Linked DNA regions of Struthio camelus. The protein of the gene in region 1 interacts with the protein of each later gene in a biochemical or structural test. Links are inferred from orthologs where the notes say so. Each region holds a gene or a part of one and is shown on either strand. Other genes may lie near its edges.

Region 1 (10,806 bases):
TCCCACACACACCCATTTAGGGACTTGGACACTGCTGTGATGGGCGTGCTGTGATGGGGACTGATATAGCACATCAGTTTTAAAATTTAAAACAAAGCTTTGCTAGACAGACATTCATTAACAAAACACTCCATACTAATAATTAGTTCTCAAAATTGTTATCACTGCGTATTCGTTCTTACTGATTATCAGTCACTATCACTACATATACAAAGCAGTCCGTCCTTAACACTTTTATGCTAAATTAGCTGTGAGAATACAGTACTACAGAGCTGATGGGGCAGAGTTAGAGTATGACTATGGTCCTCGATAGTCATCAAGGTGGCTAAACACAGGAACTCTTTGCTGCGGGGAGCTGATCTTTCTCTTACCTTAGCTTGCCAATTGGGGAATTTTGTCTTTTTAAGATACGCTACATTAGCGTGCTTATGTTTCGGTTCAAAATGAGCCAGTATTAAAGTCTGCTTAGTGTGCTTCTGCTTTCAGGGGTGCTACAGGCCCCTGCTTTAGTTGCAACACTAACTCAATGCAACTTGAGAAGAGAAAGGGCCACTTTCAGATGCCCGGCAGGCACACAAGCATGTGTTATTCTCTTTCACCCAAATCATGCTGGGGTTCTAGAAAGCTTGATTACCTTGTGACTTGATATCGAGGGAGTAAGAATAAGTAAGACAGGTGAAATGGCAGCATCTTACATCTACAACTTGAAGACAGCATTTCAAAACATGGAACAACATGCGACTTAGAAGCTCAGCCAGGTATAAAACCAGCAGGTAGGAAAGTTGCGTGCCTGCCCATCCACCCAAGAATGAGAGAAGATATGACTGCTCAACTGAAAAAGGCCACCCTCCTCCCCCCCCAAAAAAAAACCCCAAACAGATTACCTTAGCTTCTAAATACGCTTCATATTGCCCAGAATCACTTGCATCTTCTGTATTTTTTCATAGTCTCCTTAAAGTAGTCACAGTATGACAGTGAAGGGACTTGGCAGTAGCTAAACCCTTTTAGGTTGTCTTTTTTACTACCATCCACCTTAATCTCTTTGCACTTATCTTTCTTTATTGGAAGTCTGCTGTTGTCATCTTGTTCAAACAGTCCAATTCGTTCACTGGCCCTGGGAGGATATTAATCTGGCTATGCAAGCCTTTATCTCCTGTTTTTAGCAATTAGCAACGCTAATGCTAAAACCAATGAACTTCAGGTTGTTGATCAAAGTGCCAGCGGCTTTACCCAAAGGCGCTTGGGTAAAGTCTGTCTGACTTCAAGAGGGGGAAGGTGCCAGTAGCTGTCAGGTTGCCCTGTTTTCTGTTTACTGCTGTTCTGAGCCACCATTTACCTCCTGTTAAGCAGGATAGGCATTCCCTCCTGCAACTGTTTTCCAGGAAAGATCTCGGTTTCTTCTTTGCATGGTAGGATTTTAGAACACGTGGCATTCTACTGTGCCATGCTGAGTCTGGTGGGTTTTTTTGGAAATTGGGAAAGCATCTGGAGACCATTAATTTGGTTTTTCCAAATTTGTTCAAGAACGGCCTCAGGTGCAGTATTTGCTTCCCTTATTCTTTTTGGAAATGACTTTTCTCCTTAGCTGAGTCTTTTTTGTCCCCTATCTGTTTTGTTTTTGCTGATAATTAGGTTCAAATCCAAGAAATATTCTCATGCCTGAGTTCACAACTGAAGGGGGAAGCCCAGCTCAGAAACCTGTGCAGATGGTAGATGACTAGCAAAAAATAGAACAAACTTCTACTACTATTGTAATGGTAAGTGCACAGTCCATATCCCCAATAGGTGGTGCTGCACCTTTTTCATAGGGTTTAATTGTTGTAATATTGGACCCCATCACCTAGGAAGGTGAGTACTTCTCGAGTGAAATGAAGTCAGGAATCTAGTAATAATATATATTTTTTTAATATAAATAAGTAAGTGTTACATTTCATTTGGTAAATGAAATAAAGTATGTCTTTTTAGCTTAGCGGTTAGTACAGTCACCTAGGTATAGGGAGACAATATTAGGTTTTGGTCCCTCTACTGCAGATTATTATTTTACTGATCACTCTTTTCATCACAAGTAAACAGTCCCTGGAGAAGAGACCCTCCGAGTCTATCTACCATGTGAAAACATTAGATGATAGAGTCACGGTCGTTTTCTCTTTTGTTCTGATCTCATTCATTTTATATTATTATTATGCAAAGCAGGATAGAGAATATGTGAGAAATCTAATACATTACATCTAATACAATATAAGTTAGAATCTCCTCAGAGTCACAAATCAAATCTACATGATCTTTCTCCAAGTAAAAATTCTTACCGTTTAACATTGTTAACAATGTCTAACAGACGTTCACAAAATGTGGTTTTAAAATTAATTCAGTTTCAAAAGGGGAGGGTTGTTACTTAGTGAAATCAATGCACATTTTCTCACCAGAAGAGAAGCCATATATTTGCCACTAGACTATTTGTATGTGAAATATTTATCCCAGATGATTGCCGCTGCTGATATAAGTCATTTTTAAAAGCTGTTCATAAATACCATTTTCTCTTCCAAAATGACTAAAAGCTGCTTGTTTTTTCCAAAAACAATGATTCCTTCTTTGGCAGATATCAGTTCTGGGAAATTTCAACTTTAAATCCAGCAGTTATGGTAGGGTATTGTGGCCAACAGTCAGTCAAATCTTTCTTTAAAGAAAAACATTTTTGAATGTTTCAGCAATTCTTCTTAAACTACTGCGTAATTGTTAATATAGTGCATGAGGAGCATGTATATAGGAATGCTTTTATAGAGTTTTCAAACCACATTGGCCTCAGTCTTCTCAAAAACTGGTGTCTTTTTTGGCGAAGTTGCCTGGTAAGGTGTAATTAGTTTTCAGTGCGCTCTGGAACATCAATTGTCAGGTAAAATGATTAAGAGAAAGCTTTAGAAGTAAAACAAGTTAGCAGGCCCAAAATGAGCGTGTGCCCTGTAACTGCAAGAGGAGGGTAGACAAGAGCTGTAACTCTCCTCTTTCCTCGACACACAGAAAAGTTGCTGAAAGTGCAGAGTAGCATGAAAACAGCCTAAAGGAAGAACAGAACTTGTCTACATGAGAAAACAGTAGTTAAATAAAACTATTTAACTGATTTACTATTTAACTGATTGTGCAAGTCCGCAGTCATGTATACACAGTGATAATGCCCTTTTGCTTATAAAGTTCTAAATCCACAAAAATCAGCTCTAAATCAATATGAGTATATTGCAATCTAGGAAGTTCCAGGTATTAATTGCTGTTTTCAGCATCTATATTTTCCAGGTAATTTCTGAAATCAATTGCAGAGCGTCCTCTGGAGCCCAAGAGAAGTGTGGGCTATGTGTTTACCATCTTGTGAAACCTCCTGCTGTATATCACCTATCTTCTACTGCTTGTTAGCTTGTGCTGTCTTCAAACCGCTAGCAGGTACAATCATGAGCAGATATTTTTCTTCTCTTTTGCAGCCGTGTGCGGTGTCAGATGAAGTTCCATGTGGGTATATCCCTTCAGCGTGTAAGCTTCACTGACCATTGCTTTCACGCCAGCATTTCACGAGCCAAATGGTGTAGAAAGGTGGGACAGGAAGATCTGCGTTTCTAGAACTACAGGATGGGGAGAGGGCCTTTTTCCTGGAAGTCTGTACTGAGCTCATGCCACACATCTACCAACATGAGCAGGTATTTCTTCACGTGGAAAAATATAATGCAGTAGTTGTTGCTCCTGTCCTTTCTATCCGTGTTGCGGGCCCCAAAGGTGTGAATGTTATGATGGAGGTTAGCTCAAGTGCTACTGGTTGAGGCGACCAAATTAGGCAAGCCTAGATTACTGATGTTTTTGCGAATGTAAGTTGTGTTGTTTTTCTGAGGAGACCCATGCATCTGTTATTTGTGGGTTTTTTTCCTCCCCCTAGGAATTGCCGTTGGAGTCATAATTGGGAAGGACTATTTTACTGCAGTATGCAGTGATGGTCCTGGAGGTCCGTTGACCAAATCCTCTTAACCTGAAATATAGCCCTCATAACCTAAATCTGTGCACTTTGTGTGGTTAAAATTTTTACAATATGAAAGCTGATTCTCCCAAAATACGACTTAAGAGTACAAACTTATAAATGAAAAGTTTATGTTATCATACTTGAAGTAGGTCAGCTTTAATAAAATTTTGGAGTGCTAATGCATCTGATTGTCTAATGCGTGAGGTGTGCTAATGGTGGTGGTATATATGTTACTGCCACATCACATCAGATGCCAGGCTAAAAAGTCACTAATTTTGAAATGCTGTGGTTACTTGTGATGATGGCTTATTTTCATCTTGCATTCTGTGAATAGCAAACATAAACCATGTAATTTATCTTGCTAAAACAATAAATAAACTGCTGATATGATAAAAGCTATACTAGCTCCCCTCCTTCTAGTCTCTCACATGAAACTTTTGAACACGTGCGTGTAGTGGTAAGTGCTAAGGGAGGACCACAGCTACTTAGCTGAGCCGCTGCTGAGGTGAGGCAGTAAATTTAGGCTTAATGTGTGAGATCAGGTGATGGCTACTGGATGCTAACTTCTCCATGATCATCACTTTCAATAGACCATTTTCGAGAGACCAGTGTATTTTCATGCTCTCTTGTCCTTAAATGCAGAAGATCTAACAGGCATCGTACGATGCATGTTAAACTTCCTAATCAGAAAGAACAGAAGAGATTGATTTAAATATAATATCAAAACCTTCGATGCTGATACAGGGGCTGCATGAGTTCCCACTGTCACCTCAGCATTTAGTACCGTCTAATAGAGCAGAAGCGCAGAGTTGCCTCAGATGACTCTCTTTTGGCTCGTTGTTTTTTTGGATTTTGTTCTGCTTCCAGCCTCTGGAAAGACTATTTAGCATAAACAAGGAATTAATGGTGTTTATGCAAAAAATCTACCCAAATCCTCAGAGGGGACAACAGCAATCCCTTTGACAGCTCCCTTGGCTGTCTTCAAAGTCTATCTTTACAATTTTGCTACAGTATGTCTCTTTACCGATTTTGACTCATGATTTTGTCCTTTATTTGTTTGCAGTTACCAGTAAATTTTAACTTTCTGGCAACTAGAGGAGCCTGGAGAATAATCCTTCCCCTGGAAAGTCTAGTGGTGACAACGGTTTTAGGTACAGTACGCTTGAAATGAAAGCTGAGCTCAGAGTAGAGACTTTTGAATATCTATCAGTATGACCCAAAGGGAAGAGTGGATGTATAGCTGACGTAACTCTGGCATAGTGGGATGCTTCTGTAGAGCTTCAGATGTAAACTGGTGAAGGAGGATGCTGGCTTGACTGACAACGCAAGCAGTACGTTCACCTTGTGCTTTAGCACAAGTAGTATTTACTGAAGGAATTCAGTTGACTTTGAAAGGGCTTTACTGTCCTGGGATGCTTCCTTTCAGGCTTTTTTAAGAGGTTTCATCTAAATGAGAGGAGTAGAGCAGGTACGTGAAACTATAGATCAGCGTTGCTATATTCTAACTCTGTAACTAACACTTTCTGGTGGCAGCGAGTGGCATCAGCTTGCCTTTTGCATCCATAACAGGCTTTAAGAATTTTATTCCTACTTTCTCCTCCTGAAAGGAAGAAGTACCAATGAGGTGATTTCAAAAGGATGACGACTCTTGAAGGAATCATCATCATCACTGCTATCTCTGGGTCTCCGTGCATCATACTGACCAATACTGTCTCTTTCACATTATAGAAATTACTGGTTGGTATTCTCCTGTATTAAATTTATGACCAGAGATTATCTTGTAAAATACGCTAGGTACTAGACCACAGCTGGGTTTCATAAGTACGACAAGAAGTGGATGCAGCATGGAGGTGTGAGATCCACGAGGTGAGCGATCCGAGGTTTTTCAGAGCAGCGTTGCCCTTGTTGCGTGAGGCTGTGGGGAGGAAGAACTGAAGGAACTAAACCCCGTTTTCAAGTAAACAGGGCATTCACAGGCAGTACAGATAACACTGACGCCGCTCCATCATCCCTGTCACGTGGCGTAGCTAGGCAGGCCGCCTTAAAGTAGCGGAGAGGGAGCTAGAGGAACTTAGTGTTTTATTTACCAAGCTCTGGTAGAAAGAGGGGTCTCCAGCAGCCCTGGCTGCAGCACACACTTTGTTTTAGCCTGACTGATGACGATACACCTGCCCGAAGGCCTCGGTTCTTCCCGGTGGGTGACTCCAGGGCCTAGAAAGACCCGTTCGTGCTGGGTTAGCCACACTGGCAAAGACTGTAAAAAGAGCGGAGGGCTCTGAGGGCGCGTGAGCTGTTCGGCGCCAGCTGATGAAATCCGTGGAGGGGAAGGGAAGAAGACGAGGAGGCGGCGGGAGAGAAAGGGGGCGAGCGCCGAGCGGCCGGGGCTGGCGCCGCGGGCGGCGGGAGGGAGCCGGCGGCGGCGGGCGGGGCGCCCCTGCCCCGTGACCCCCGCGGCTCCTCCCTTCTCCCCACCCACCGCCCCGCTCCTCGGTGCCGCCGAGTAACCTGGTTTCCCGGCGTCGGCCCGGCCCTTCTCCTCCCTCTTTTTTCCCACTCCCCCTCCTTCCTCCTCCCCCTTCGCCGACAGCGTAGCCGGGGCTCGGGCTCTCTCGCTCCCTCCTCCCCTTTCCCTCCCCTCGAGCTGCCGCCGCGGTAGGGAAGCCGGAGAGAGGCGCCGCCTCCGCCGCCGTACACGGAGACATGTACCCGGGAGCCACCTCCGCCGGACCCGGTGAGGTTTGGGCCGCTTCGGTTTCCCTTTCCCTCACCTCCCGCCCCGCCGACTTTCGCAGTCGCTTCGCGGCGTGTTGTGGAGGGGTTGGGTGCGGGGGTGGGGGGGGGGGAAGGTTTGAACTCGGGCTCCGTGTGCGGCGTTGGGGGGGGGAGGGGGGAAGGCGGAGGAGGGGTGTGTGTGTGGGGGGGGGAGGTGGGTGACCGTTGGCGCACGCGGCGGTCTGTCAGCGCGAGGCGCCGCACGCGCCCCCTCTGCCCCCCCCCCCCCAACCGTCGCCGCCGCGAGGCGCCAACGGCCGCCGGCGAGACGTTGGGGGGGGGGGGGAAGATCCGCGCGGCCGCCCTCCCCCCCCCCCCATCCGCCCCCACCTCAGTGCCCTCCCGGCCCGGGCCTGCTCGCTCGTAGCCTCCGTCCGAGGCCGCGCTGGCGGGGGAAGGAGGGGTCAGGCCGCCGCCGCCGCCACCACCTCGGGGAGGGAGGCGAGTGAGCCTGCGTGTCCTGAGGCCCCTTCGAGGGGAGGGTCGCCGTGTGTTCTGCCCTCCTCTCCCCTTCCTTCCTCCCTCCCTCCCTCCCGCGGCGGCGAGCCCCGAGGCAGCGGGGAGGGGCGAGAGGAAGGGGCTGCCCCGCTCCCCCTTGCCGGGGCCCGGCTCTGTGGTGGCCGCTGGGGCAGCGCCAAGCGGCGGGTCACCCTCGGCCGCCTCGTCCCCCCTCTATGCGCTTACGTGCCGCCTTGCCCCGGCCGTTGGTGCCAGCTCGGCCTCCTGCTGGCAGCGCGGCGCGGACGGGGGCGGCGGAGGTGGTTGGAGAAGGGGGGGGGTGCGGGGGGGGTCTCCATTTCCTCCCTCGCAGCGGCCGGGGGTGCCGCGGCCGCCTTTGCCCGGCGGCGTGTCTGCAGCCGCGGCCTGGCTGTTGGGGTGCGGGCGGGGGCTGCGTCCCGCTGTCCCATAGGGATCCGGTGAGGTTCTCGCCTTCAGTCGCCCTTCAGACTTCGGTGGATTTTTGTGAGCGAAGGGGGAGGAGGACGCGGGCAGCAGAAGCGCTAGCAACTTGCTCGGGGACGCTAGTGTTGTTCAAGGGGAAGGATAAGTTAGTATTGTGAGAGCTTGTGTCGTTAGCGTGTAGTTAGCCTAACGCTCGAAAAGAAAACAACTCTCCTAATGTAGAAACTATTATTTTTACCTTGTTTTTTTTTTTTCCAGAAAAAGTTTAAAAGTGAAACTTCCTGTATTTTATATTACTGTTCTTCATAGGTTTGTGTAAAATCTTTTTCCCGTGAAGGGAAGATCTAGTAAGGAAAAGTGCAGAACAATATAGGACCTGTAGCTCGGACCCTTCTACTGTTTCTCTCTTGCAAATGCTGCCACAGTAGCAGCATTCACCTTAGGATCTACAGTTAGGTGCTGGCTTCCTCTTCCCCCCCCCCCCCCCCCCCCCTTTTCTGTCTGATACTATTACCCTGAAGGAAAGAGAATCGAGAAAGGACCGGGACGATAGCTGTCCTTTTAGGAAAACCAGAAGAGCTATATTCTTCCTTGCTTTTCTTCCTGTAGTTCATGAAGGCTTTTACTATACACAGCAGGAAGACAGACCGCTGTAGCCGCGTGCATCCAGACTGATGACGTTCAATACTTTGGTTTTAAGTATTGGGCTGTCTTCAAGTTTCAGTACCAATAGCTGTGCATAAATACTTACTTTATCATTTGCTTGGCTTCTAGTGTCAGGTTCTCTTGTTCACTTTCAGTGTGCAGATAATCTTGGTGCTTAAATTGTGCTGCTGTTAAGGCTGTTACGTTCACCCCTTATTGTTACATCTTTTGCAAAATTGTATATAAGGGTTCTTCACCTATCTGGAGGTGGGGTTTTTTTGTTTTGTTTTTTAAAGGAACCAAATCATTGAAAAAATTGCCAGTATATGGACTGAGAGCAGGTTTACATGTGGGAGCAGTCTATCTTCTTCCGTTTGCTCTTTATCTGATCCTAACAGTGTCCCTTCTACACAGAATGATCTTACTTCCACAACACTGGCACAGGTGGTTGCTGTTTACTGCCAGATCCAGTGCGTATGTGTATTTTTCCCCTTATCAGAACAACCCTCTCTGAGCCCCAGAGAGCAAACACCATACCTTTACTGAGCTGCTATTTCTCTGCAAGCACTGCTGTCCGGTGCCGCAGGCTTCTGCTATTCCGCTCCCTTCAACTAAGCTCGTCTTCTGTCTCGTTTACTTCCCAGTTTATCTTGGGCTCAGCTTTTTTTCCCTCTGCAGAGCCAGGCAGGGACAGCGTCTGGTCTAGAGCACGAGCTGCAAGTTGTTGTCCGCATCGTTTCCTTCCTGTGCAGTCATCCACAGAGAGCCTTACCAGGGCAGTGGCTTTTAGCAATCCGAAAAAGCTTCCCGTTCTGCATCAAATCATACGGCAGGACCTTTGATTAGAGTTTTTAAAGAGGGAAGAGCTGTATTGTGAACCAGTCTGGAAACGGAGACTGTCAGCAGGGTGCTTGGTTTTGTCCTGTAGGCTAAACGTGGCCTGTGCACTGCTAGTGAAAGTCCCCTTCCACGTGTTAATCTGATACGTATCAAGCGAGCGTATGCTGAGATCCTCTTCAGAGGAATGAGCGAGCAGGAGTGTGGTTCGCAGACGTTCAGTAAGGCACAGCTGCTGTAAGTGCAGGAGAGCTCCAGCCTCTACATGTCTGTCACCACATCCTTGACGCAGCTTAAATGCTCCATTCATATCTCTTGTAACTTGGGTCTGGCCGCTGTTTGGTGGTTCGTTGAACGATGTTGCAGCATACGAGCTACTTTACTCTTCCTGCTCCCGTCACCAAACTGGACACCACAGCCATCCCTGTTCTGAGGGTGTTTGTGGTGTTGGCCCTCTGCCAATGTAATCACTCAATTTGCCACAGGGTTTGCTATTTTAATCTTCATTCTTTTTCTGGAAACAGTATAAAGCAAGTTAGGAGGCTGCATCTGACTAATTTAAAAAAATTGCAGCTAAACCTGGAAACTTTGTTCTAACATGCTGTTACATTGGGAGTAAAATATTTTTATACAAGAGAGTAAGATGTTTGTGTACAGATCACGTTTTTATGATTAGAAAAGCTATGATCTCCATTCCTTTTTCCCAAAATATTGTTCAGCTTTGAGACTTTACACTGGTGCTCCTTCTCCTTCAAGAGACTATAGAAAGACTACAGTTTTGAAAGTATGAAACTTTTTTTTTTTTTTTTTTAATTAATATAGATACTTTTTAGGATGTGTTTTCCTAGAAGGACAGGAAGATATCAAGGAGGTATAATAAAAATACTGTTGTTAGATCAGTTGAGTTTGAGGAAGTGATTGAAACTTGCACAAACTTCTGAAACTTGCACTGCTTAGTATTCACATATTTATAAATTCTAAACTTTGCATGCTATAGGTTGTCTCTTTCTTTATTTGAAAGAATATTTGTTTTTGTTCACTATCTGAGGTTTTAATTTGTTGTTGAAGGAGCACTTACTTGGAAAAAAGGTGACTTCAAAAAAAAAAGGGGGTTGTTGCTTTACGTATAAAATAAACTTTTTTTTTTTCCTGGTATGAAAAACAAGTTTGAGTTTTCTGTAGCAGGCTGTTGGCACCTGCCTCAGTAACACCAAGAACTCCCTTGTATCAAGGGTCTCCTCATCACCTGCCCAATCTTTTACTTCTTAGAAAGCCTCTTAATATTATTTTTAGGTTGAAACTGGGCCTGTTTGTATTGTGCTGTCCTGCTGGTATCACATGTTTGCACAGGTTTTTGGGGCTTAATTTTAGACAGTAAATTATGTTGAAATTCATTATAAGCTGCCATATGTAAAAGAGGAAATGATAATTTAATATACAGCGCGCTCAATTTTTTTTTTTGCATGAGACTTTTTTTTTTTTTTTTTAGACTTAAATCACATTTGACAGCCTACAATGTACAAAACGCAGGTAACTTTTTTAAAATATTGTTGTCATGGCCAGTATATTTTCCTAAGAAAGGAAAAGATTCCATATTATTGTTTCCACTAGCTGCATGGTCTTAGGTGGCTTAAAATGAGGGAGTTATTTGGTGA
Region 2 (10,336 bases), on another chromosome or scaffold:
CCCATCCTCCCTCATATCGAAGGCTTGTAGGCAGTAAGAGATTTCTGATAATGCTGTTGAGGATTTGGCATATTCGGGTCCAGTCCTGCTGGCAGTGCTGACTTCAGTACCATAAACATTAAAATCTCTAAATATAATTTGAGACGAGTAGCTTTTATTGGTGTAGCGAATGATGCTTAAGTGAAGAAAAAAAGGGTTGTGATGTTTTAAAAATTAAGTAAATTTTTTGCAACTGACTCCGTGATTAGGAATTTGCACGTGGATTAAGGGGGTTGAGGTTCAAACATGCAAGGCAGGTTACCTCAGATCTCGGGAGCAGAATCAGTTTTTGCAAGAGTATGGGATCCAAACTTCAGTTCTAATTCAAATACAGAATAGAAACTGTTGGAGTTAATTTCTTTTCTCTAAAGAAGGATAAAAGTTATTCTGCTAGCCACTGCAAAGATAATTGATTTTATTTTTATATTTTTTGTAACTTAAAGAAGATGCAAGCGCAACATAGGACATATGCCCATCTGGATCATGATCGTAATAAAGACAAGCATAGCGTTCATTTCAGACAAGGGACCAGTACGCACACTGCAGTTTTGTGGGAGCCCAAGCCTTCTAAGGATAAACCTCTGGCCATCACGCACATACTCTGGTTGCTAGTGTATACTGAAACCTGTGTTCTGTCTTCACTGCTTGTTTTGTATCTCATTGATAAACAAAAGATAGTGGGGGCAGGGGTACTTGTACCTTCAAATTGCTGGGCAGATATAACAAAATCTTACGCTTGAGCTGTGATTTCTGCTAAGATAGCAGCTAGCATAAACTAATAATCTTGAGTTGCTATTTGTATTGATATTACAAAGATTATTTCCAGGAGAATGCACTACAATAATTTAGGAAATGCCTTCCAGTGACTAATTCCATTACTTGGTTAGATGGTACCACTGGCAGTTCTCCGTCCCGGCCAAACTGTAAGCATTACCCTGGAATATGATGTGACATATGATCAAAGCAAAATATATAGCTCCATCTGCTGTAAATACTTTGAACTGATTATTTTTGCATTACTTTTTACGGCTGATCAGTACCCTGGGGAACTGATTTATCACTTTGCTGATAGAGATTATCTGCCTGTTAGCAAGAATCAGCGTAAGTGTAGCAGCTAAGTACATTTATACTTTGCAAGACGGTATTTTGCTTGATTCTGGGGCAAAAAATGAGTATAAAAAAGCATTTTACAAGGATATTAGGAACCTTTGTTAACTATTGTATGATAGATCCTTTGTACTGTGTCATTGTGAAATACAGCTGCTTATGAAATGCAAAAATTAGATTTGCCTAAAGTAACCTTAGTCAGCGATAGATATGAAGAGACTTCCAGTTATGCTTCTGCTAAGCAAGGGCTCTCCACAATAAGGAATAGCAACACTGTTTTTAGTCAATAGTCATGAAATGCTGAGTCCCTTCATTGAAAGAGTGAAGCAGTTGATAACACATTTTTATATTAATTTGAAAAGGTAAAAGAGCAGTTTGAAGAGGTCAAAAAGACACTAAAGCAATTAAAAATGTTAAAGTTTCTCTTGCAGTAGGGAAAATACCCTTATTTAGAGTTATGAAGTCTGGGTCATTGAAGTGTGAAAGCACTAAGGAAAAAGATTGCAAATAGCATCTTAGAGGGGACCAAAACTTTGTGCAAACCTCACACCTTTTTAAAATCTCAGCTCCAATTTTAGGAATGGATTCAGTTCAAATATAGGTTCTTGCTTTCTTTCAACTTCCTCCTCCATAGTCACACCTGCATCTTTTTCTCATAATACATTACATATGTTACTATTAGCAGTGTAGCCACACTTAATGTTTGTAACTGTCTCTTTTCTGCAGTGGTTCACAACTATGAACTAAAAAACCTGGTAGCCAGACAAGAGACTGGCTGAGAGGAAAGTCTCAAGTTAAATTTTCTGAAGGTGGGTGCAGAATAGTCACATCCTTTCCTATCCAGAAACTTGCTTACAACACTCTGGCCTGCAGTTGTTTCTGGATAACTGTCAGCTTATTTCAAAGTATATTATTGAAATAGTGTATGATATAGGGACAAAACAGCATCACGGCTGGTACCAGCAACAGAGAACAACAGAGGTCACCATTAACTTGCAAGAAGAATTATCTTCAGAATCCATTTTAGAATTTGAGAAGATAAATCAAATCAAAAAGCACAAAGCCTATTTTCTGCTGGCATAATTTCAAAATTCTATAGCATGCACAAGGCTAATTACTGAGTTTTGCAGAAACTGCATTTTTGCTTTTTTCTAACCTAAACACAAAGGTTTTTTTTTTTCTTACCCAATACGAAAAAAATAGAAACAAAACATACATTTTTGGAAAGGGGAAGGGAGAGAAATGTTTCTGTTTTCCTGTTGTTGTCTTACAACAGTTATCTCATTATCAGTATTTCCAGTTCTAAAGAAATGGAGAAAGCTATAATTTGGTGAATTATTCATTTATGCTGTTCTGGATTTTAATTAGCTGAGCTATTCAATTCCTTTCCCCCAATGGCCTGTTTGTTTTTAATCAAACATTGAATGTCAAGTAGTTGGAAATATGTGGGATTTTTAGAATTTTGTATTGCATTGATGAATTCAGCTTAATTTTCTTTACAAATCTTTTAAAGACATTTGTGAAATCAACATAAAAATCAATTTTTGATTTGGGGTTAAACTCTGACAGCTAGCTGTCACAATACAAGCATATGACATAAAATATCCATTCCTTACAAAGGAGAGAAGCTAGAGGTGATGGAATAACAAAGTACCGCACAAAGTTGATCCTAACTGTGCTTTTAAATCACAAACTCCTGTCAGCAGGCTTAAGGAGGAAGTAGCTGTGGAGAAAGACATCCTTTTCTTTATACAAAAATAACTTCCAGAATTCTTTTGGCATTTATATGCATTGTTTTCTGTGTTTTAAGAATTCTGCTTGCCTTCTCTTTGAATTGGATAAAATTGGATAAAATTCATTATTTAACCATGGCCTGCAAAGGATTGAAGAGAGTTTCCTTCTGCTCTATTTTACATTAGAAATAATCAAGAATGCTAATTTTCTTCAGTACTTCAGCTAAAATTGGAAAAATAGACACGTGTTCTGACAGCTCCCACTGGATAAGACTTAACAGCTGCTCCTCTTCTTAAGGTTTTATCATGGGATAGAATTAGTCTTCCATCCATAAAAACAGAAGGATACCCTTTGCATGCTACAAAAATACTTAATACTTCAATATTTAATAACATTAGCATTCCAGAAGAAGAGTTCTAAATGGCGACAGAGGTTTTAACCAAGTAAAGAAAGCACTTAATTTGATAATACTCTAGGCCTCCAAATCACTTTTCTCCCCAAATCATTTTACTAGAGTTTAAACCGTATAGTGCTCCAGTCAACTTTACCTTCTCAAACTGATTTTGTAGGCACACATAGTTGCATTATGCAAGGCAGTAAATCCCTGGTTGAGTGGGAATGGAATGAAGAAGGCTGCATCTCCAGTGCCAGATCTTCCACTGCATGTGCATAAAGTTTAGCACAACTTAAAAGGAGAGTGGTTAGCCAGAGGCAGCTTTTTATTAAATTTATGATCTTATTATAATCTGTTATGGAACAAGGAGGATCTCCAATCCCTGTGTAAGTAAATGTGATCTTACGATAGTCCTAACTTGCCTGCCTGGACTACCACAAACGTAACTTGTGCTATACTTGCACACCTGAAACAGCTTGCAGTGTTTTGCAGGGCCAACAGGATCAGTGAAATACAGTATACAACCAAATTTATCCACTGAGGAGACGAGGTGCCAGGAGCAGGCAAAACAGAGCCAGGTATGTAAATTTACATTATTTAAAGATTTCCTCGCACAAGAACGACCACATTGCCCACATGTGGCTAAATCTTTACATTGTTGGTGTAGTGATGTATGAGTAGTCCACAGACTTGACTGTTCGTTGGCACTATGGGCAGGTTTGTAGTCTTGTTCTTCTGAGCTTTAAGTGTATTGCTCTCATTACTATGGTAAAGTATACTTGATGTGGAAAACACATTTTTCTCTGCACAGACAGCATAAAAATTACTTCAAAGTAATGGTGCTTTTGGATATGTGTGGATATGAGTGAAGGACATGGAGAAAAAGTTAAGTAGGAAAACTGAATTAACAGTACAGATTTGCACTGCTTACATCCATCTTGTAGCACAGTTGGTCAGCGATTTCATTTGTTTTCTGGTTATACTGCAGCCCAATTCATACTTTAGATTTGTTCAAAGCTCTTTCATTGTCTTGCAAGTTTCACCTCAGTTTTTCCAGGGCACAGCTTCCAGATTTTGATATCAATGGCGTCACAGAAATAAAAGGTGGAAAATGGTAGTATGTGAAGTACCAGAAAAATTGTGTTCTGCTAATGTTTCAGCACCATACTTTTCCCTTATCTTGGGTTCTTCATCTGTGGGCACAGGTTTTTGACACTGGAGAAACAGTTACCCCGCATCAACTGTCTGTTTAACCCAAGGGATTTCAGGTTTTTTTTTTTTTTCTTAACGTAGTAGTAGTAGTTAGTAAAGTCACTTAAGCAAGTAAATGTTGACAAGAAACTGGAATGAGGCCCGTGGTTCAGCTAGCTGATACTCTGCCTCAAGCAATTGCAAAAGGAAGTGCTGTTCAGGGAGTACAAGAACCTCGCCACTGCCTGTGGTCCTTTCTTCTTCCACTGTCATTGACTTTGTGATGTTCGGAGGTATCTATCTCCCTAACTTTCCTTCTCTTTGGTATCTGTTTATGGACAGTATCAATCTATTCTTTCTTGAACCACTGATACTATTTGTCCTGTGGTGGCAATGGCTTCCAAGACCTTTCACTTTTATTGCTGCGAAACATTCATTTTTGACACCGTGATGAGAGAGACCTGTTCAACTTTCCTTTGTAAGGATGTAAATCTCCTTGCAGTCATAAACACAGTTCACCAGCTGGATGAGATCGCACAGCAGCTCTGTTCTGCCAGCTTCGACGAGCAGCAGTGAGCAGAGGTGGCTGCTGACCAGTAGCAGCCAGACCCACATCCATCTTGTCTGGGGCTAGCGCCAGCAAGAGCCGAGGGCGCTAGCTCCATGGTGGAAGAGCGGCTCTTTTCCTTTGGCAGGGAGGATACTCCTCAGAGAAATGACTGCCTCTGCGTAAGGAAAAAGTGGGATATAGCAACAGAGTAGCGAGGGAGGCCCAGATTCTGCTCGCCCTGAGCAGCCCTGCCTCAGCGGCAAGAAAAACTCCCTGGAGGCGGCCTCGCCGTCCCCACAGCCCGCACCAGCCTGGGGAGCCTCACCCCCTCCCAACATGGCGGGTGCTGCCTCGCCTCAGCCGAACGGCCGCCACCGCCTCTCGCGCGCGAGCCCCGCCCAAGCGCGTGCGCGGGGGGGGGGGGGGGGAGGCGGAACGAGACACGGCACCGGCGGCTCGGCGCCTCGCGCTCCTCCGGCCGGGGGAGGGGAGAGGGCACACACGTGAGCCCCTGGACCACCCCGCATCTCCTCAACCGCTGCTGTATCTCGCCATCTCATTGGCTAGCCTGTGAACCTTTCACCTTTTACCCAGCTGTTGCCGCCAATCGCCTGGCTCCTTTCATGCTGCGGGGATGTGGAGCGTGTGAGCTGCGCAGGGTGACATTCTCGGAGCGGGCTTGCGTTGCGGGCGTTGGGCGGCCCCTGTTGGTATGGGCGGGAGGGGTGGGGAGGTGCTCCGTTTGCGTAGGGCCGGCAGCGCAGGGGGAAGGGAGGGGGAGGAGGCTATCCCGGGCCCAGGTGAATGGAGGAACCTGACAGTTGGGGGGAGCGAGGAGGCGGCGGCGGGGAAATGGCGGCGGCGGCAGCAACACAATGAGACGCGGCCTGTAGTGGGGGGAAGCGCCGGGCTGGGTCCCGTCCGAGCAGGTAGGAGATGGCGGCCCAGGCGCGCCTGCCCTCGCCGCGGCGGCTGCATGGCGGCCGGGCACGGGTGCCGGAGCCCAGCGCCCGCGCCGGCCCGCGCTCTCCCCCGCCGCGGCCGCGCCGCGCCGCCGGGGGGTGGAATGGCGGCGGGCGCTGCCTCCCCGCCCTCCGGCCGCTGGCCCCGGTTAGTCCTGCCCCGCCTCCGTCCCAGCCGCCGTCCCCGCGGGCGCCCCGCTGCTCCGGCCGCCGCCAGCACCGACCTCCGCCATCGACCCCAGCAACTTCCCGCCGCCGGCAGGGCCCGGGCCCCGCGCGTCGGGTGGCGGCAGGGCCCGGCCGGCGCCGCCGCCGCGCTCCGGCCCCTCTCGGCCGGCTTTGTCTCGTCGCTGCGCGCCCCGCGGGCAGCCGCGCTCGGGGCCTGCCGCCGTGCGCGCTTGAGGGCCCGCGCTCTGCCCTCTCCGGGCTGCGGCTTCCCGGAGCGGTTGTGCCGTGTTGCGTGGCGGGGGTTGGGGCGAGGAGTGCAGGGCAGCAAACGTGTTTCCACTCTTCGGTGCTACGGTTAAGGAGTTATATGAAATTCTTAGCTCTCTGCTTTTCTTTTTCTTTTTTCTTTTTTTCCTCCATCCTCGTCCAATTTAAGTGAGGACTGTCCGCATAGAGCGGCAACGCAGTGGCAACGTGGTTAGGGCATACCTTATACTGTGTGATCTTAGGCTGAAAAGACAAAAGATGAAAAAGCAAATATTTTTTGTAATAGGATTTAATACTAGTGAGATAATAGATAATGTAGAAAATCCTCAATAGATAGAAAAAGGATTGTAGCAATGACATTTTGAAATATTCTTTGTTTATTTATAGAAATGACTGTTTCCAAAATATAAGTGACTGATGCAATTGTCTTCAACTGCTAAAAGTCTGGAGGATGCTTGGCGCCTCAGATAATGAGTTATGAGTATTCTTGGTGTTAGGATACTGAGCTTCAAGATATGCAGTGCCTCGCCTGATGAAAGCATGTAGGTTGGAAGGTGGTTGCCACTCTCAAAGAAACAAGACAAAGGGCGAATCAAATCAGAATTAACTTTGCAGAAACTTGGTTTACGCTGTTTTACTGTGTTTGAAGGGCTTTTTGATTTACAGACCATTTCGGATGCCCAGCTGAAGTGCAAACAGCATACATGTTTTTTATTGAGATAGATGTGAGGGTTTCCTTGTGGGTGTGGGTGGGTTTTTTGTGTTAAGTTGATACAGATGCAAACTGGAATTGATTTCTATTAAGCCAGAATTATTGTCCTAAATCCTTAAGAGGGACTTTCCTGTTGTCTGTCTTTACAAGATACGTTGTAATCTGTATAACTATATAAAAGGCTTGAAGATGCTACTAGAAGTTTTCAGCTGGAAGGGGCGTGCACATGTATGATCTCCCAATTGTTTCGTCATTGTTCTTAATCCATAGGATTTAAAAATGTGTATGTATTTGTTCAGACTCTGAATTAGCTACTGCTGTTTAGGAAAGTATCTTGATCTGATAGAGTTCAATGAAAATGGCAGCTCAGTACTCATCAGTAAAAAGAAAATAATGTTAGAATTTACAAATAATTGACAATCAAATGGCATCAGTATGCTATTGTGCAAGTCCATGCTGGACCCTTACTTTTAACACTGCATGCAGTTTGGGTGTATCTTTCTTCCATATGCCAAAGGTTATGTTAGACTAAGAAAAGGTAGAGAGAAAGCTGACTAGGTGGCTTAAGTACTAGAAATTTGTAGCCAGTTGAGATGCCAGAAGAGGAATAAGAGAGATGTCTATGCAATATAGTTGTGAAAAAAGCAAGTTAGGAGCAGTTGTTAGGGTTTCCCTCCCCTCCGCTTCTTTGAGGTTTCTGTAGTTGACAGATTCAAATCAAACAAAAGACAATCTTTCACATTCTGTTTAGCTAGAATACCTGCTTCAACAGCACATTGGGAATGCCAAAACCTTACATAGAGGTCAAAATAATTGGTTTGTAAAGAAAAAAATTCATCGGAGACTGTCAAGCACAAAGACTTAGAAAATGTCAAGGTGACTGGTCAGTGGAAAGTAGTACTGCTTGCCTAGCTATTACGTTCCTTCCTACGTGTCCTCCACTGGTCACCAGTAGAGGGAAGCCAACAAGCTAGAAAGATATTTTGTCCGACACAATGTTATTCTAATGTTTTAACATAAATTACACTGATTGATTGAGAAATGCCTTGAAGAGTTGTAGCTTAAAGATTAACAACAACAAAAAGGCTGAACCTGTAACTCAAAACACTGTTCCCTTGGTTTTTTTGTATATTCCCTAGATCTTTCTCATTTCCCATTCCAAAAATTAGTAAGGGCTTTTTCACATTCTTCAGGAAAGTTCATAGGTGGTGCAAAGTTGCTTTAGCATACCTTATTACAGAAACTGAGTATCACTGCTTCACCCATGTTGCCTTTCAGTATGAACTGGGTAAACTTGTATCTCTCTGTAACCAAATGCAAGTTACTGGCAGAGACAAATAGAAGGTGTTTATCCTTCTTGTAAAGGTCAGTAACTTAGTAAAATGGATATGGTAAACTTGGAGGTTGACATATTTCTTTGATTTATCTTCTAGATAAACTGTAGAATAGGATTGACAGCAAGAATTCCATTTTGAAAAGGATTGTACACTTACAGATGACAAGCATTATGTTATATAATAAGTACTGAGAATACAGACAAGAACGTCAAAACGTTTTTTTTGAAATGGATTATTTCTTAATTCTCTGTGGGAGTAAAGGGTTCTGGGTAATTTTTTTTTCCTGTCATGTTGGTGCTACAAACTAGAGAGTATACTGAGCGTGATGCATCATTGGTGGGGCAGTGAGATGGTTCATATGCTCCACTTTCTTGCTTTACTAATGATTAGCTGTGCAGCCACTGACCATCTGTATCCTATCTCTGTCATATGTTCAACAGTAGTTTCTGCAGGCTGATAGCTGCTTCCTTAAAATAAATTCCTGTGCTGCCTTTAAAGAGCAAAAAATAAAAATTAAAAAATAAAGTAAAATAAAAAAGTAAAATAAAAAGTAAAAATATAATATTGTACAGAACAGTAACCTCAGCATGTGATACGCTATTAGGATATTCTGTCCTGAAGACTAACAGTGATGACTGGAGCAGAGGAGAAAGCGAGATTTCCTTACACCCTCCAGACTGCTTTCTTCATCTTTTTGCCTTTTATGACTTCCATACGAAATGTGATTAAACCAGTAGAGGAAAAACTGCTACACAGTAAAAAGTACACTTCTTAGCTGAAGTTATTGCAGTCTGGGCTTGGGATTTGAAGACCTGAGTTTCCCTGCTTGATCAGGGAGGTTGGACTAGATGATCTCCAGAGGTCCCTTCCAACCTAAACCATTCTGTGACTTAGTGTTCAAATGGTGCTAATTGTTTGAGGGGATGGGCAGACATAGGCATGTAATCAAAACAGCTGTTCTAAAAGGTTTAATCTATAGGACAAAACAGTGCACACTTTCTTTTTAAAAGCTTATACTGTGATAATCTATTAAGTGAGTGCTCTCCATTTTGGTAGTTCTTACATGCTTTGTCGTCTTAGTCATAAATTTTCAAATTTGAAAGTTATATCTAAATTTCTCTTATTTCTACTCTTTATTGTAGACTGCATTAGCTGAGTAAAATTTCTGTGATACTTGTCACTTTCAAACTGCTACTACTTTTGGAGTAGTAGAGCAGAAAATTGAAACTGTGGTCGAGGAATTGACTTGCATTATTGTGCCTGCTTTTGTGGAGGAATGAGGGAAATGATATGACCTTCTCCAGTAGAAAAGAAGAAAATATTGTTCAACTTCTCCTTGCATCAATACACCTGAAGCCAAGAGATGCTTGTACCTCTTGTCATGGCTTTTACTTCAGGGGATACACACCGGTGAATCTGCTATTCCTATTTTGCTTGGTATAGGTGTTACTTTTGGGTCCCCTCTTACCAGGAAAAGAGGACCAAAAGTGTTCTCCTTTGATCCTTGCTAATACGTAGTAGTATTGTAGGAAAATCTTTTATTTTTCATGTGCTTTTTCCTCTTTAAGGTTATGGCTCGGTACTTACAACACTGCCGTGTAACCTGGCTTAATCAGTTTCTGACCATGTGCTGCATCTTCTGTCGCCACCAGAAAGGATCAGTTCCTTGACTGGTTTCACCAAATAAGTGCGCCCATGCATGCATGCATGCATCTAGGACACAGCAGAGTGGCTGTTGGCTCGAGGGACTGATTGTTGGGGCAGAGGTGGGCAGGTGGGGGCTATTGAAGCTGGCATTGTCATTGGAGAAATGGCTCATCAGACTATGCCTTTGTGGTTTTTATTTTATTTGTATGCAAAACAAACAAACAAAAA

What was found.
Region 2: the proteins of AGO2 (region 1) and DICER1 form a complex in vitro, tested with the Homo sapiens proteins (2 studies listed by BioGRID and IntAct). The link is inferred for Struthio camelus from reciprocal best matches to the Homo sapiens genes AGO2 and DICER1.

Annotation. Positions count from the first base shown.
Region 1 is NC_090943.1:168,309,483-168,320,288, reverse strand, and holds the start of AGO2 (protein argonaute-2), read left to right. Parts: upstream 1-6,478; 5' UTR 6,479-6,694; coding exon 6,695-6,725; intron 6,726-10,806.
Region 2 is NC_090946.1:67,304,028-67,314,363, reverse strand, and holds the start of DICER1 (endoribonuclease Dicer), read left to right. Parts: upstream 1-5,435; 5' UTR 5,436-5,660; exon of another isoform or gene 5,661-5,725; intron 5,726-5,727; coding exon of another isoform or gene 5,728-6,504; intron 6,505-6,799; exon of another isoform or gene 6,800-6,954; intron 6,955-10,336. Other genes in the region: uncharacterized protein C10orf95-like, read left to right, coding at 5,728-6,504. UniProt on the Homo sapiens protein: Double-stranded RNA (dsRNA) endoribonuclease playing a central role in short dsRNA-mediated post-transcriptional gene silencing.